Schizosaccharomyces pombe: one gene and its partner. The gene in region 2 interacts genetically with the main gene of each other region. Each region holds a gene or a part of one and is shown on either strand. Other genes may lie near its edges.

Evidence for each region.
Region 1: mutations in dis32 (region 2) and exo2 are lethal when combined (synthetic lethality), as found in Schizosaccharomyces pombe (one study listed by BioGRID).

Annotation. Positions count from the first base shown.
Region 1 is NC_003424.3:1,776,307-1,783,240, reverse strand, and holds exo2 (exonuclease II Exo2), read right to left. Parts: upstream 4,752-6,934; 5' UTR 4,693-4,751; coding exon 4,678-4,692; exon of another isoform or gene 4,640-4,677; coding exon 4,572-4,639; exon of another isoform or gene 4,532-4,571; intron 4,522-4,531; coding exon 618-4,521; 3' UTR 501-617; downstream 1-500. Other genes in the region: gus1 (glutamate-tRNA ligase), read left to right, coding at 1-306; fol2 (GTP cyclohydrolase), read right to left, coding at 5,870-6,172, 6,284-6,579, 6,633-6,741; UBA/TPR/DNAJ domain protein Ucp7, read right to left, coding at 6,890-6,934. UniProt on the Schizosaccharomyces pombe protein: Multifunctional protein that exhibits several independent functions at different levels of the cellular processes. 5'-3' exonuclease component of the nonsense-mediated mRNA decay (NMD) which is a highly conserved mRNA degradation pathway, an RNA surveillance system whose role is to identify and rid cells of mRNA with premature termination codons and thus prevents accumulation of potentially harmful truncated proteins.
Region 2 is NC_003424.3:4,270,229-4,275,880, forward strand, and holds dis32 (3'-5'-exoribonuclease Dis32), read right to left. Parts: upstream 3,902-5,652; 5' UTR 3,853-3,901; coding exon 1,069-3,852; 3' UTR 664-1,068; downstream 1-663. Other genes in the region: rcm1 (rRNA methyltransferase), read right to left, coding at 1-326, 388-446, 508-643; SPOM_SPAC2C4.08 (uncharacterized protein), read left to right, coding at 4,943-5,652. UniProt on the Schizosaccharomyces pombe protein: 3'-5'-exoribonuclease that specifically recognizes RNAs polyuridylated at their 3' end and mediates their degradation.

The DNA of each region.
Region 1 (6,934 bases), 2.5 Mb from region 2:
AAGAAAGTCACTTGGTTGGCTGATACGGAGGACAAAACTCCTGTCGACCTTGTTGATTTTGACTATCTTATTACCAAGGACAAACTTGAAGAAGGAGAAAACTATAAGGACTTCCTAACTCCTCAAACTGAATTCCACTCTCCCGTCTTTGCTGACGTTGGAATCAAGAATTTAAAGAAGGGTGATATAATTCAAGTTGAGCGTAAAGGTTATTACATTGTTGATGTTCCATTTGATGGTACGCAGGCTGTTCTCTTCAACATTCCAGACGGTAAGACTGTAAATCGTTACGGCGTTAAAAATTAGAATCGAGCATATTATCCAGTCGTAATATAAATTTTGTTACCTCTATTGTTTTTATAATATTTTTCTTCCATATGATTTGTAAAGTCGTGTTTGGTTGATTGTATCTGAGACTAAACTCCGAATACTAAATATTTATAAGTTTAACCGTTCAAACCGAAATTTCTCTTACTACAGATTTAAAGTATAGAAGTCTACTAAAATATTTGCACATAAATTTCATTCATATCATAATGTTGTCTTAAAACCTTCTATAAAGTTAAAGAATTCTATGCTAATAAAATTTATTATCACACCACTAAAATACAATTGGGCTAGTTAATCTGAAGTTTGCCCATCGGCTGAACGATGTGATCGTGCTTGCGATTGAGTTCTTTCGACCTTAAGGGTTTACCACGTTTTCCACCCCTACCGCGGATAGATTGTGTACCATTGGTAGAGTGGTGGTTACCTTTGCTAAACTTACTCTTCGATTTATGGATTAATGATTCAGGGGGAGGGACTTGATGTAGTGAAAAAGGCTTTGGATGATGCTCTCTTTTGTTCCAAACACTAGAAGATGGAGGGGATGGAGGTGATGGAAAAGTTGAAGTGGGTTTCGTTACCAAACGAGAGTCAGTACCTTGAGAAACATTATTTGCACTAACATTGGTTTTTCTATTCTTTCCGGCACGGGTATTTACAACGAACTGAGGATTTGTAACGTTTAAAACCATTGAAACTTCAACTTGCATACCATGATATGGCGAACACCTTCCATCTAGAGTAGTTCCGCTCATAAAAGGCAAGTCAAAGACGACATCCAAATGATGCAACATAATACCCACGACAGTTCCGTATGCTGCAATTGGAACTTTACCAGAGTCCTGAACATAAACAACACGATCGCCTAAAGCAAATTCTTGACTATGCAAAATTCCACGTGTTTGTGAAGGTTTTAATAAGGCATACCGAGGGACGCCAAAAACTTTCTTCGGAACCTGATAGGTAGAATCAATTGTGCTTGCTTTTTCCTCAATTAGCTTTATAATGTCCGAGTCTAAAGCATCTTCATCTAAAGATACTCTAGTAAGAGAGTTAATCCCTTTCTCTTTGATCCAATGTTTGACCGCAGCCAATTGTTGGGTATCATCTTTAGGGAAGCAATCCTTGACCGTTAAATTATCCTTGGTAGCATGTGTTGTTAAAATATTAAATAATTGAGGGAACGTATTTATGTACTCTTTAACAAGGGCAACGGTTTTGTTCGAGAATTCCCAACCTTTAGTGCTTTTCCGGGAAAATCCTAACACTTTTTGATTTCTGGCATCAAATTTTAAATTTAATCCAATATTTTCTCTTTTAGTACCATTGCTAATTAAGAAGCTAGATGTTATTTTACTTAAAAGTAGCGGATGTATGTTAAGCAACTTCGCAACGATATAAGAAGGATAATATTTCTCTTTTGACTTGCTATCGTTAACAAGAACACGACCCCATTGGGCATCCAACCCAGGGGCGGTTGATAACCAAATAATGAGCTTGTTGTCCTTGCATCCTGTAATTTGTGCAGGTCGCCCATAATTATACTCTCCGAGATGAAAAGCCTTCGTTCCTGGAGGATATTCCACCTCTACTGGCGGAGCTTCTCTCTCGGTAAATCTTGGATCATCTATAGCAATCTTTTCGACCACTAATTGGGCTGGATAATCCTCAAGGACAGATTCGTTAAAAATCTTAACAAGAGCACCTTCTCTGGTATACTCCAATCCTTTGATAGGACGTACTTGAAGCAATAAGGAAATATCACCAAAAAGAACGCCAAATCGTTTACTATATTCTCTAATTTTATGGGAACATTTACGGCCCCATTGGCTTTTTTCAATTTCTGCCAAATCCCTTTTCTCAATGGTACTGTTTGAAGCTAAATACATGTAACTTTCGTCCATAGCACTCTCCACATATGCTTCACGTAAATAAGGCCAGTCTACAAAAATTCGTTTTCCGACATATTGCATCGCAATTTGTTCCGACGTTAAAGCAGATTTGACGTCTTCAACATTGACGATTACGGAGGGATTCCTGCTTTCATTACCAAAAACATTGATACCATGATACACTAATTCTGCTTTATGCTTCAAAGTGTGAAAGGAAGGAAAACCCACCATTCCAAAAGCACCTAAGAAAACGCCAGGGCAAAGACCAACCAAATATTCTTTACCTTCCATCGAAGGTAGAGAGTAAGGTTTTTGAATACAGCGGGTAACCAAATCCGGAAAAAGTGAAGGTAATGAAGAAGGATAAAACGATGTATAATCCTCCGCTAAAGAGAAGACCGTTGGGGCATTGAAGGAATTTCTTTTTCGTTCCTCTTCAGTCAAAAATTTATCCTTGGATGCTAGTGCGTCTATAAGACGGGTTTCGTCAATAAAAGGAATTATAACCACAGCTTCCCAACTAGCTGTTTTTCCATTTTGATCCAAAGCAAAATTTTCTGGATAAAAATCAATAATTGGAGATTCGCTGTTAACCATTAAATCGCGGAAACAAGGGGGTACTAATGCCTGACTTCTTGCAGGCAAAACGGCCATGAGCTGCTCAAAAGGACGGAAGGGTGTACCCATTTTGAAATCAATCTTTACATCAAGGCCCTTTAAAACATCTGAAATCTTTGGTGCAAAATGGTAGTTGTAATACCAACCCCAAGACTGACATCCACGGTAATAATAGAAAAGTACCCATTGTAAACCTTCAACATAACGTTCAGCCATTGCTTTTAAAGCTTCTTCATCATAATAACTAAAACCAACCTTGCTTCGATAATAATCATCCTTCCATTGGATAAAATCTTTTTCGACGTTTTTTTCTTTTAAAGCTTGTTCTTCGTTAAGCAAAGGAATGTTATCATACTTTTGAAGTACACGTTCGATTTCGTCCTGCTCAATTTCATCTTCGTCTTCATCATTAAATTCAAGATCTCTAAATGTAATCCTTAATAGATGAGTGCCGTCTACCTTTATAATTTTGGAAAATGACAGATGAAGATCATTACATAAACGTCGTAGAAAGCGCTGATCAACAGAAGAAATGTTTGCACTAAAATCAATGAACGGCTCACGAGAAGACAAAAACTTTTTAATCTGTAAGAAATAATTTTTCTGCTCCCCTGTCATGGCTTTAATATCATTTGTTGATTCAGTAATATATTTGAGAAAGTCAAAAGATGGTTTGTCAGAGTTCCCATTGTTTTTTGTCTCAGAAACTTCAGCTTTAAATATCTCTTTCTCAAAATTCTCAAGTTCGAGGAGTATAAGTTCCAATCTAGCCATATTGATTACTCCCTTTTCATTAATATATCCCCCAGCAGAAGGCATAACTTTTTTGTATATACTAAACATCAAAGCTAACGCACCCTCATTAATATGAAGCCCAGGCAAATGGGGAAGGAAGTCATTTCCGACAAAAAAAGCTAAAAGAATAAAGTCGTCAAGGATTTTTTCGAGATCATACTTAAAAGTGAATGTAGATCGGCATTCTTGAAATTCAAATTCAAGATATTCTCTTAATAAACTTAAATGCAATAAATAAAATTTTTGGTGAGCCAATTCCTTAGAACGGTTTCTACTTGCCGGACCAAAAGTAACCTCCTCACGTAATAGACAAAAATGTGGATCATGAGATAAAAGACCTAGCATAATTAAATCAGCATCCAAACCATAAAGGCAATGGCGAGTGTTAGGATTATAGCTAGGTTGAGCCTTTTGGGTTCGAATATATTCCATAATTTTATGCTCACCCTCACCGGGGCAATCGTGGCCAGAGAAAATAACCTCAATGTTCTGCCACTGGGAATCGTTCGTAACTTTTTTGTGAATAAAATAGTATAACTGTCGTGAAACCCTCTCCATAAAAGTTGTACCTGGCGTTATACAGTTACTGTCAAATTGCTCCTCGGGAAAATCCTCCCCATTACGTTCTGCTTTTAAACGCGCATCGTGGGCATCTTTAGCAGTTCTGAATCGGCGACTGCGCTGTTGATTCATTTTCGCACGTGGGGCACATCCATCTACTGCCATATATAGAAGCTTTTTGGGTTTAATTTTTTCAAATAAATGCTCAATATAATTAAAAATGGCTATATACATTTCCTCTTCTGGAAGTGGTGGTGAGGAATGATCATCATTCTTATGCGTACAGTTATGAAGAATACCATTCATATCTAGATAAAGATTATCAAATCTATTTCAATTAGCTCCATACGTTTCAAACGATGATTTAAATTGACATACTCGGGAATGCGATCGTTTTCAATCAGCTGACTGCACAGCGGATACCTTTCGCTCATCCATCGAAAAAACTAATTGTTAAAAACTTATACAAAATATCGATAACAACCTTTGGAATTCCCATACTGAACGAACTTTCTCATTAACAGTTAAATAGGAATAAATTTAGAAAGTATTGTTGTTAGTAGAGAACAAATGTCAACATATGCGGTGCTTGCACGTATCGATAGGCCCCAGGTTAGTGAAGTTTAAGGAGTTAGTTATATAGTACATGAAATATTGAAAATGTGTAGATCCTCTTTGATTTAATATCATACTAACAGAAGCCTTTTTAACGATATCATTGTGAGTAAAGATATTATCATATTATCATTTTTTTCAACAAAAATACAAATGGCAAAATAGTTAGTCTTTGAGACTAGCTGAGTCTAAAATAGAGCAAGTTCTTAAACATTGAGGCGAAGGAAGGAGTTTAGTTGTTTGAAAAACAAATCAAACACATTTATCAAGAAATACGTTTCGACTAATTGAAACTGCAGCAGTAGTAGATGATTAAAAAACATTGGCAAATTTTATAATTAACGAGACATTTACCTTTATAATAATGTGTCTAGGGTATATCAATACAATCACTGTAAGTTGCTTGCAATACTTATCGATTACGGTACAAAGATTATTCATTCATAATATATTTGATGATAAACTATTAATTGAGCTCTTGCAAATTGAAAGTCTTACACAGCAAAACTTAGTAAATAATTAATAAAATTGTTGAAACTTCATATATGTATATAATAACATGGACTAATTTACCATGTAACCAAAAAAGTGATTCGAAACAACGTTCAAAAAGAAAACTTAAATAGTAGTTTTCCATTAGGATAACGTCTTCCTTAGCACGTTGAGGCTAATAATAGTAAGGTGGAGTGAAATAGCTCCGGTCAATTTTCAAGAAAATAAAATAAGCCATATGAAAAACGACCATGTGTTCGAATTTCTTCTCATAATACTAAGATATCAAAAAAAAAAAAAAAAAAATTCGTGAAAAACAACTGAAGAAGGGCATTCATATTTTTAAAGAGTAATAGAGAGAGAACTTTCGACTGCTTTTAAAATCTTTGGTTGCTAAATCGTATGCATAAATAAACATATGCAAGGATTGATATATTTAAAAAAGTGATTGTTTTAACAACTCAAAAACTGGAATGCAAAAAAAAATAAAAATATAATACCATTTAGTTGTAATAGGAATTTACGGACGGTATCACCTCTAGCGATTAACGAACAAAATAAAACCAAAATTAAAATTTTCCAATCAATCTAAAAAACTCCTCCCTAGTTTTATGGCTTCTCTGAAATATACCAGTAAGACTACTAGTAACAGTACTGCTACCCGGTTTTTCAACACCGCGCATAACCATGCACATATGAGTAGCTTCCATAACGACTGCAACTCCCTGAGGTTTTAAGACAGCTTGAATAGCTTGGGCAACTTGTTTGGTAAGACGCTCCTGCACCTGTAGGCGACGCGAAAACATATTGGCTATACGTGCGAGCTTTGAAAGTCCCAATACACGCTTACGAGGAATATAACCAATATGAATCTACAATAATGTTAGTTTAATACGCTGAGTTTGTGAAAGAGGGTTAAACATAATTGCATAGCCCAATCACGTGAATGCAATGGATAAAATCCACTTCTAAATGAAACCTACTTTTCCAATAAAAGGAACCAAATGATGCTCGCACAAACTGAATACATCAATATCTCTAACAATGACCATTTCTTCGTGATCTTCTTGAAATACTGCCTCATTGATCACTTCGGTCAAATTTTGCTCGTATCCTTTGGTAAAGTAAAGCATTGCCTTGGCATACCTCTCAGGTGTTCCCAAAAGGCCTTGTCTCTCAGGATCTTCTCCCAAACATTCCAAAATTGTTGAAATAGCATTGGAAATTTTTTTTACTTTTTCTTCCTCAGCAGTATCTATTCTACGTTGTGTTCCTTGACCTAATTGGTATTAGAATACTTAAATGAGTATAAAATATGCTTTCATTACTTACAAGGCCAAGAAAGCCCGTCTAAATCAATAGTTGGTGTAGATGCGCCAGAAAGTGAGGCTGGTTGCATCCTCAAAGGAGAATCTATATAATCCTTTTTTCCAGGCTCCATGAGAAATAAATTTTTAATAAATGAAATTAAGATTGCAATGGATAAGTAAACCGCTGCAAATGTTTTACGCTAACCGACAAAAATACTGTCACACATCTTGGTTCATGCAAGAGAGTGTAGCGCAGAACCAAAGTCTCACTATTTGTAATTAAAGATCGTTTTGCTGTTTAAAAAGTTCCCAGGCATGATTAAG
Region 2 (5,652 bases):
TTTTCAACACAATCATCAATATAAAATTTGTCGGGGCCCAGTTCCTCAATTGAACTGACTTTATCCAAGCCTAAACCTTGCAAAACCTCGTCTTTTGTGCTTTTAATGGTATTTATTCGAAGCCAGCGAGGGAGCGACACAGGATTTTTCAATGCCAGCTCCTCATGGCTCTTAACCCCTTTTTTCACCTTGAGTTTGACAAACTCGGCGTTCAGGCGTGTCTTGTGACGAAGAATGCATTCCTTGATAGGACCATTTGAAATGGATAACCCTCGCTTTGACATCAGTAAATCATGGACAAGGACTCTAGCCAAATTTTCTTTTAACTACAATAACCAGGTTAGCTTCAAAAAATTACGAAACAACTATCGTTTCATTAATTTGTACCTTTTTCTCTAAAACTAATAACTCGGATCGCGCAATTATTTCATCCAAAACAGGTTTATCTATATAAAAGAAGAAAGTTAGTCAAATCGTTTATATTAAAGTTTTACTATTCTTGTTTACATTTGAGAGTTTCGCAAACCAAAGCATAAGTGCGTTTTGGATCATGTTTTTTTGAATTAAATGCTAATTGCTTAATTGATCCTTTTTTTTTACTTAAATCTGAAAGTATGTTGGCAGCATGATTATAAAAATCCATATCGAGGCAAGATCCTCCTCGGTATGAGTAGTGGAAAAGCTGCTGCACAAAACTGAGTACCTTACTCAGGTCACAATGTCTATTGTTACTTGTATGTATAGGTATAAATAAAATATTCAACAATTGCAGCCAAAGTGAATTTGTTAACTAAAGAAATTTCTTATTGATGTTAAATTTTTTATTTTAATTGTGTTTCTCTCACGAATGAGAAAAATATATCAAACATAAGTCGTCTGGGCATAACAAAGTCATTCAATTGTCATAATCCATGAAACATAATAGTAATAATAATAAGCGTTTTAAAATGTGTAGGATAAACGTGAACAACCATTCAATAGGTGGCATGCATCATAAATAAAAGGTAATCTGACCCAAAATTAACAAAGTTATATTTCAGTCAAAAATTCATAAACAACACTAGGCCTTTAATTCAAAGAAACTAGACTACAGCGAATACTGAAAAATGTACGACTGTAATCAGAATATAAATAAACTTGGAAACGATCCGTAAGAGCTATAGTCTTTTGAGAATCATCAAACAACGTAATTTTAACAGAGGAGTCATCGGGAGCAACTATAAAACTTTTAATTCTATCATCTGAACTGAGGTCTACTCTGTTGGATATTCCATATTCAGAGATATAGACATCAATAGAATTTCCAGATATTCTAGTCGCAAATGCTTGAACTGGCATAGATTTCTTATCATGCTTTTTGCAATACTCAGCAATATATACAGACAAAAAGAGTTGCTGGCTATCTTCTTGCACAGTGGTGGATTTCTCCTTCTTTTCATTACAATGTGCAGCCACTAACGAACAATTTTTTTTGTCAATACCCGGGGATGTGTTCTTAAGGCTACGTTCCAATAAACGATGAACAATAATGTCAGGGTATCTTCTAATCGGAGAAGTAAAATGGGTATAATGATTAAATGAAAGAGCGTAATGGTGCCAGTCTGTTTTCTCACCGAAATCGCCAGTACAAAAGTATTCAGCACGATTTAACGAGCGAACTGCCATATTTTCAAATAATTCTACCAATTCTTCATTAAAAGTGCTTCTGAGTCGTACCATAGAGGCATTAAATGCAGCTGAAGACGATGCATCGAAATCGAAGTTCATGCTTTTTAGAAAGTGACAAAACTCATTAATTTGTTTCTCTTTAGGACTTGCATGGCGACGAAGCAAGGAATTATTGGAGAAATTTTTACTGATATGTTCAGCAACAGATCTATTGGCGAGAAGCATAAACTCTTCGATGAGATGATTTGCATCGGTTTGCTCATATACCTCGCATTTATTCGGCATTCCATATTCATCTAATTGGAATTTGAGTTCTGTCGAGTTAATCTCTACAGCGCCCTTAGCAAATCGATCTTTGCGAAGCTTTCTCGAAATTTCGCAAAGTGTTAATATAGACGTTTCAACATCTTTTGGAGTATGCGTACCTCCTATCGGTTTGCCTACAGCATCATCCCAGGACTTTCCTTCGATCACACCTTGAGCCTCACTGTAGGCAAGTCTGGCACATGTCTTTATAACTGTTTTGCCAAACCAACGCTTACCAATTTCCTTACCATTGGAGTCGAGTTTCCAAAAAACGCTAAATGCAAGACGCTCAACGTTGGGATTTAATGAACAAAGTCGTTCACACAACAGAGGAGGAAGCATCGGAATAGCCTTTTGCACAAGGTATACTGTTGTAGCCCGCGAAGCTGCCTCTTTGTCCAATGCTGAATCTGGTTTTACAAAATGAGTAACATCAGCGATGTGGACACCCACTTCATAAGTGCCATTGTCAAGAGCGCGACAGGAAACAGCATCATCCAAGTCACGAGCTGTTTCAGGATCAATGGTAATAATTAACTCATTTCTTAAATCTCTTCGTTTTTTTATTTCCTCATGTGAGATAATCCAATCATCAGGAGGCAAGCAGTTTAAAACCTCATCAGAGAAGGGAGAGCTACTAATTCCATTTTCTAGCAAAAGCGCATTAGTGTAAGCCTCCACGTCAGTAATATTTCCCAGCTTTTCACCTAATACACCCATAGGGTAACGAGAGTAAATACTCCACCTTGTAATCTCAACTGAAAACAACTGATCGTGGTGTTTCAAAATATTTTCAATCCAATTTTCACCACTTAAATCGCTTAAATCATTTTTGTGAATTGTGATAAAGGGCAGACGTTTATCTTTTGGAATGAAAATCGCGTACGAGGATTTTTTGGAAACATATTCTACATTTTTTAATGACCAACCTGGTGCTCTTAAAATCCCTACAATTTTAGAAATTTCCGCTCTCTTCTCAATGGCGACAACACGAGCTCTCGTTCTGCTATCACCTTTGAAGCTTGCAACACTTTTAATTTCTAATCTTTCCAAATGCTCCATTGCTCCACCTAACTCATCGTCATGATCTTTTATTTTGACTTTCTCGACACCATTCTGTAAAAAATTCGATTTTTCAGTGGGGCTGTCATTATTCATCACAGGTTCCACAATTACAACGTCGTTGTGAAAAGCACGATTTCTAGCAATTGGCCCATCAACATAAAAATCAGGTATATCTTCCATACAAGCAAAAGCGCTACGATGATTTTCAAGAATACGAAGCGTTCCTTTAAATAATGTACCACTTTTTAATCCTTTTTTAACCGTTGCAGAGTCGTAGTACAACGGGTATACTGACTTTTTCGCATTGGATGATACCATCTCAGTGGCGTTATTCGTATCTGCTTCAACTTGATGAGAATTGTTTTTTTCTCGTTTCGCGGAATTTTCATCTCGATTATTTCTGGACTCCAAATTCTTGGAAAGTTTCGAGACACTTTCTTTATGCACGTCGGTTTTATGTTCATCCTGCTTAGAACTTTTAGAGATTTTTTCCTTCGAGTTTTTCTTCTTTGCCTTCGGTTTAACCTTGGCTTTCTCGGTCTTCGTTTCAGTCAAGCTGGCTTTCTTATGGTTCGAATCTTGACCTTTTAATTGGGTATCTGTTGGCCTTTGAACAATATCTTTGATCCTTTCCAATAGTCCACTTCCTAATCCAGGAATGTTGGAATCATCATTTTGATGAGGATCGTGAGTAGTAGACGGATATGCTTTATTTTTTGTCTTTCTATCAATAGAGCCTTTTTTTTCTAAAGCAGCTTCTCCCTTTAATAAATTTCGCTTTTCCTTTCTTCTAATATTTGGTTTTAAATCCATACTTTGTGAAAATATGGAGGTGGTAGTAGAGTTAAGGCATGCAATTGTTAAATTCACTGAGCGCAACTAGGAGATATATTAGGGGCAACAAAATAAATGAAATAATTTATACTAAATGCAAAATTCTAAACCATTCATGGAAATCAATAAAATTGATAGTCTTGACGTTCGCTCAAATATCTACACTACTTCATTCTATACTAAGCTACAGTTTCAAAATTGATAAAGGGCGTATAAACTATACATCCAAAAAACATAGCTTTCTATCTTCCTCAACCAAATATCTGCAAGTGTATGGTTTTTAGTATACTTCTTGCTTCCTTTTTTGTTTTTTTGTATCGTACTGAAAGAGCTTAGTAAATCGATCTAAACTTGCAATTGTAATATTAGATTCGTTCAAAAGTTGATACTAATCTATTTATTAAAGGATGGCAATTGAGAAGTCATAAAGACTAACATAATTTTAATTACTTTTGTAATTGCAATTAAAGAAAAAAAAGAAACCATACCCAAAAATAAAAAAAAATTTCATAATCAAATTAAGAGACGGAGTATTTCTTCAGTCAATTAATAAGAAATAAAAAAAAAATAAAATAAAATAAAATTTTTTTTAACAAATGCTAACCTCCTAAAAGCTGTTTAACAAAGTGAAATCCGTGATAGAGTCACCTGTTAAATTCAATAATATTTTTTGATGTAAAAAATCACGTAGCTTTAAAAATTGAAGCCTTTTTCAGGTAATTTGAAATATGTCTTATATTTGTAATTTTTGAATAGATGGAAATGACTGAACGAAGATATTTGACAGTGGAATATATATTTTAAACACACTTTCTGATTGTAAACAAAGAATAATTGATATTTAACAAAACAAAATCCATTTATAAATTGAAAAAGTAATCATAGTAAATTAACGATAATTATTTTTTGCAACATAAGGATTTGGGATTATTTGCTAGTATATACTTTGAAATTACACATGCCATTGCTAGAGAAGTTAGAAGCTACTTGTTTACCTCTTCTAAGTTATCACTAGTACTTGCTTTCATACGAATTCCCCTTTCCGTTTATTTTAAGATCTATCTCTGAGATGAACAGATTGCAAGCAAAAAAAGCTGTAAATGTTTCTCGGCATGAGCAAAAACGGATTCGTTACAAGTTGACGCCAGAAGAAGTTAAAGCAGAAAGGAAAGAGCGGAAGCGACGTGCAGCAATTCAAAGAGCTGAAAAGAAATTAATTAGAGCCAAAGGTGAAGCTCTTGTAGCATTTCAAGCCGTTTCCAACCCAAGTTGTAACTTTTTGGTAATTGATTTTGAGGCATATGAATTCAACCAGAAAATCATAACTGAGGCTGGGATTACGATGAGAATTAATGGAGAATGGGACTACCACCACTACAGGATTAAGAATTTTCTACATCTACGCAACGGTCGATTTGTTCCAGATGAAGCCGATAACTTTCAATTTGGTGACTCCAAGATTGTGACAAAAATTGCGTTTATAAGTATTCTGAAAAAAATTTTGAAAACACCAAATCTACATCTAGTAGGACACGGAGTGGAAAACGAAATAAAGTATGCAAACGTCCTTGGAATACCTATTCCAAAGGATGTCACGGTTCTTGATACGCAGAACGTTTTCTCATTCTTTCAAAGTTTATTCCTCAAAGAAATTTCAAATTCCAACAACATCTCTCTTGCTAAAATGCTCACTCACTTGAACATCCGAGCTTTTTGTCTTCACAATGCCGGCAACGATGCGAGGTATACCTCAGAAGCCCTTCGAGAAATGACTAACAA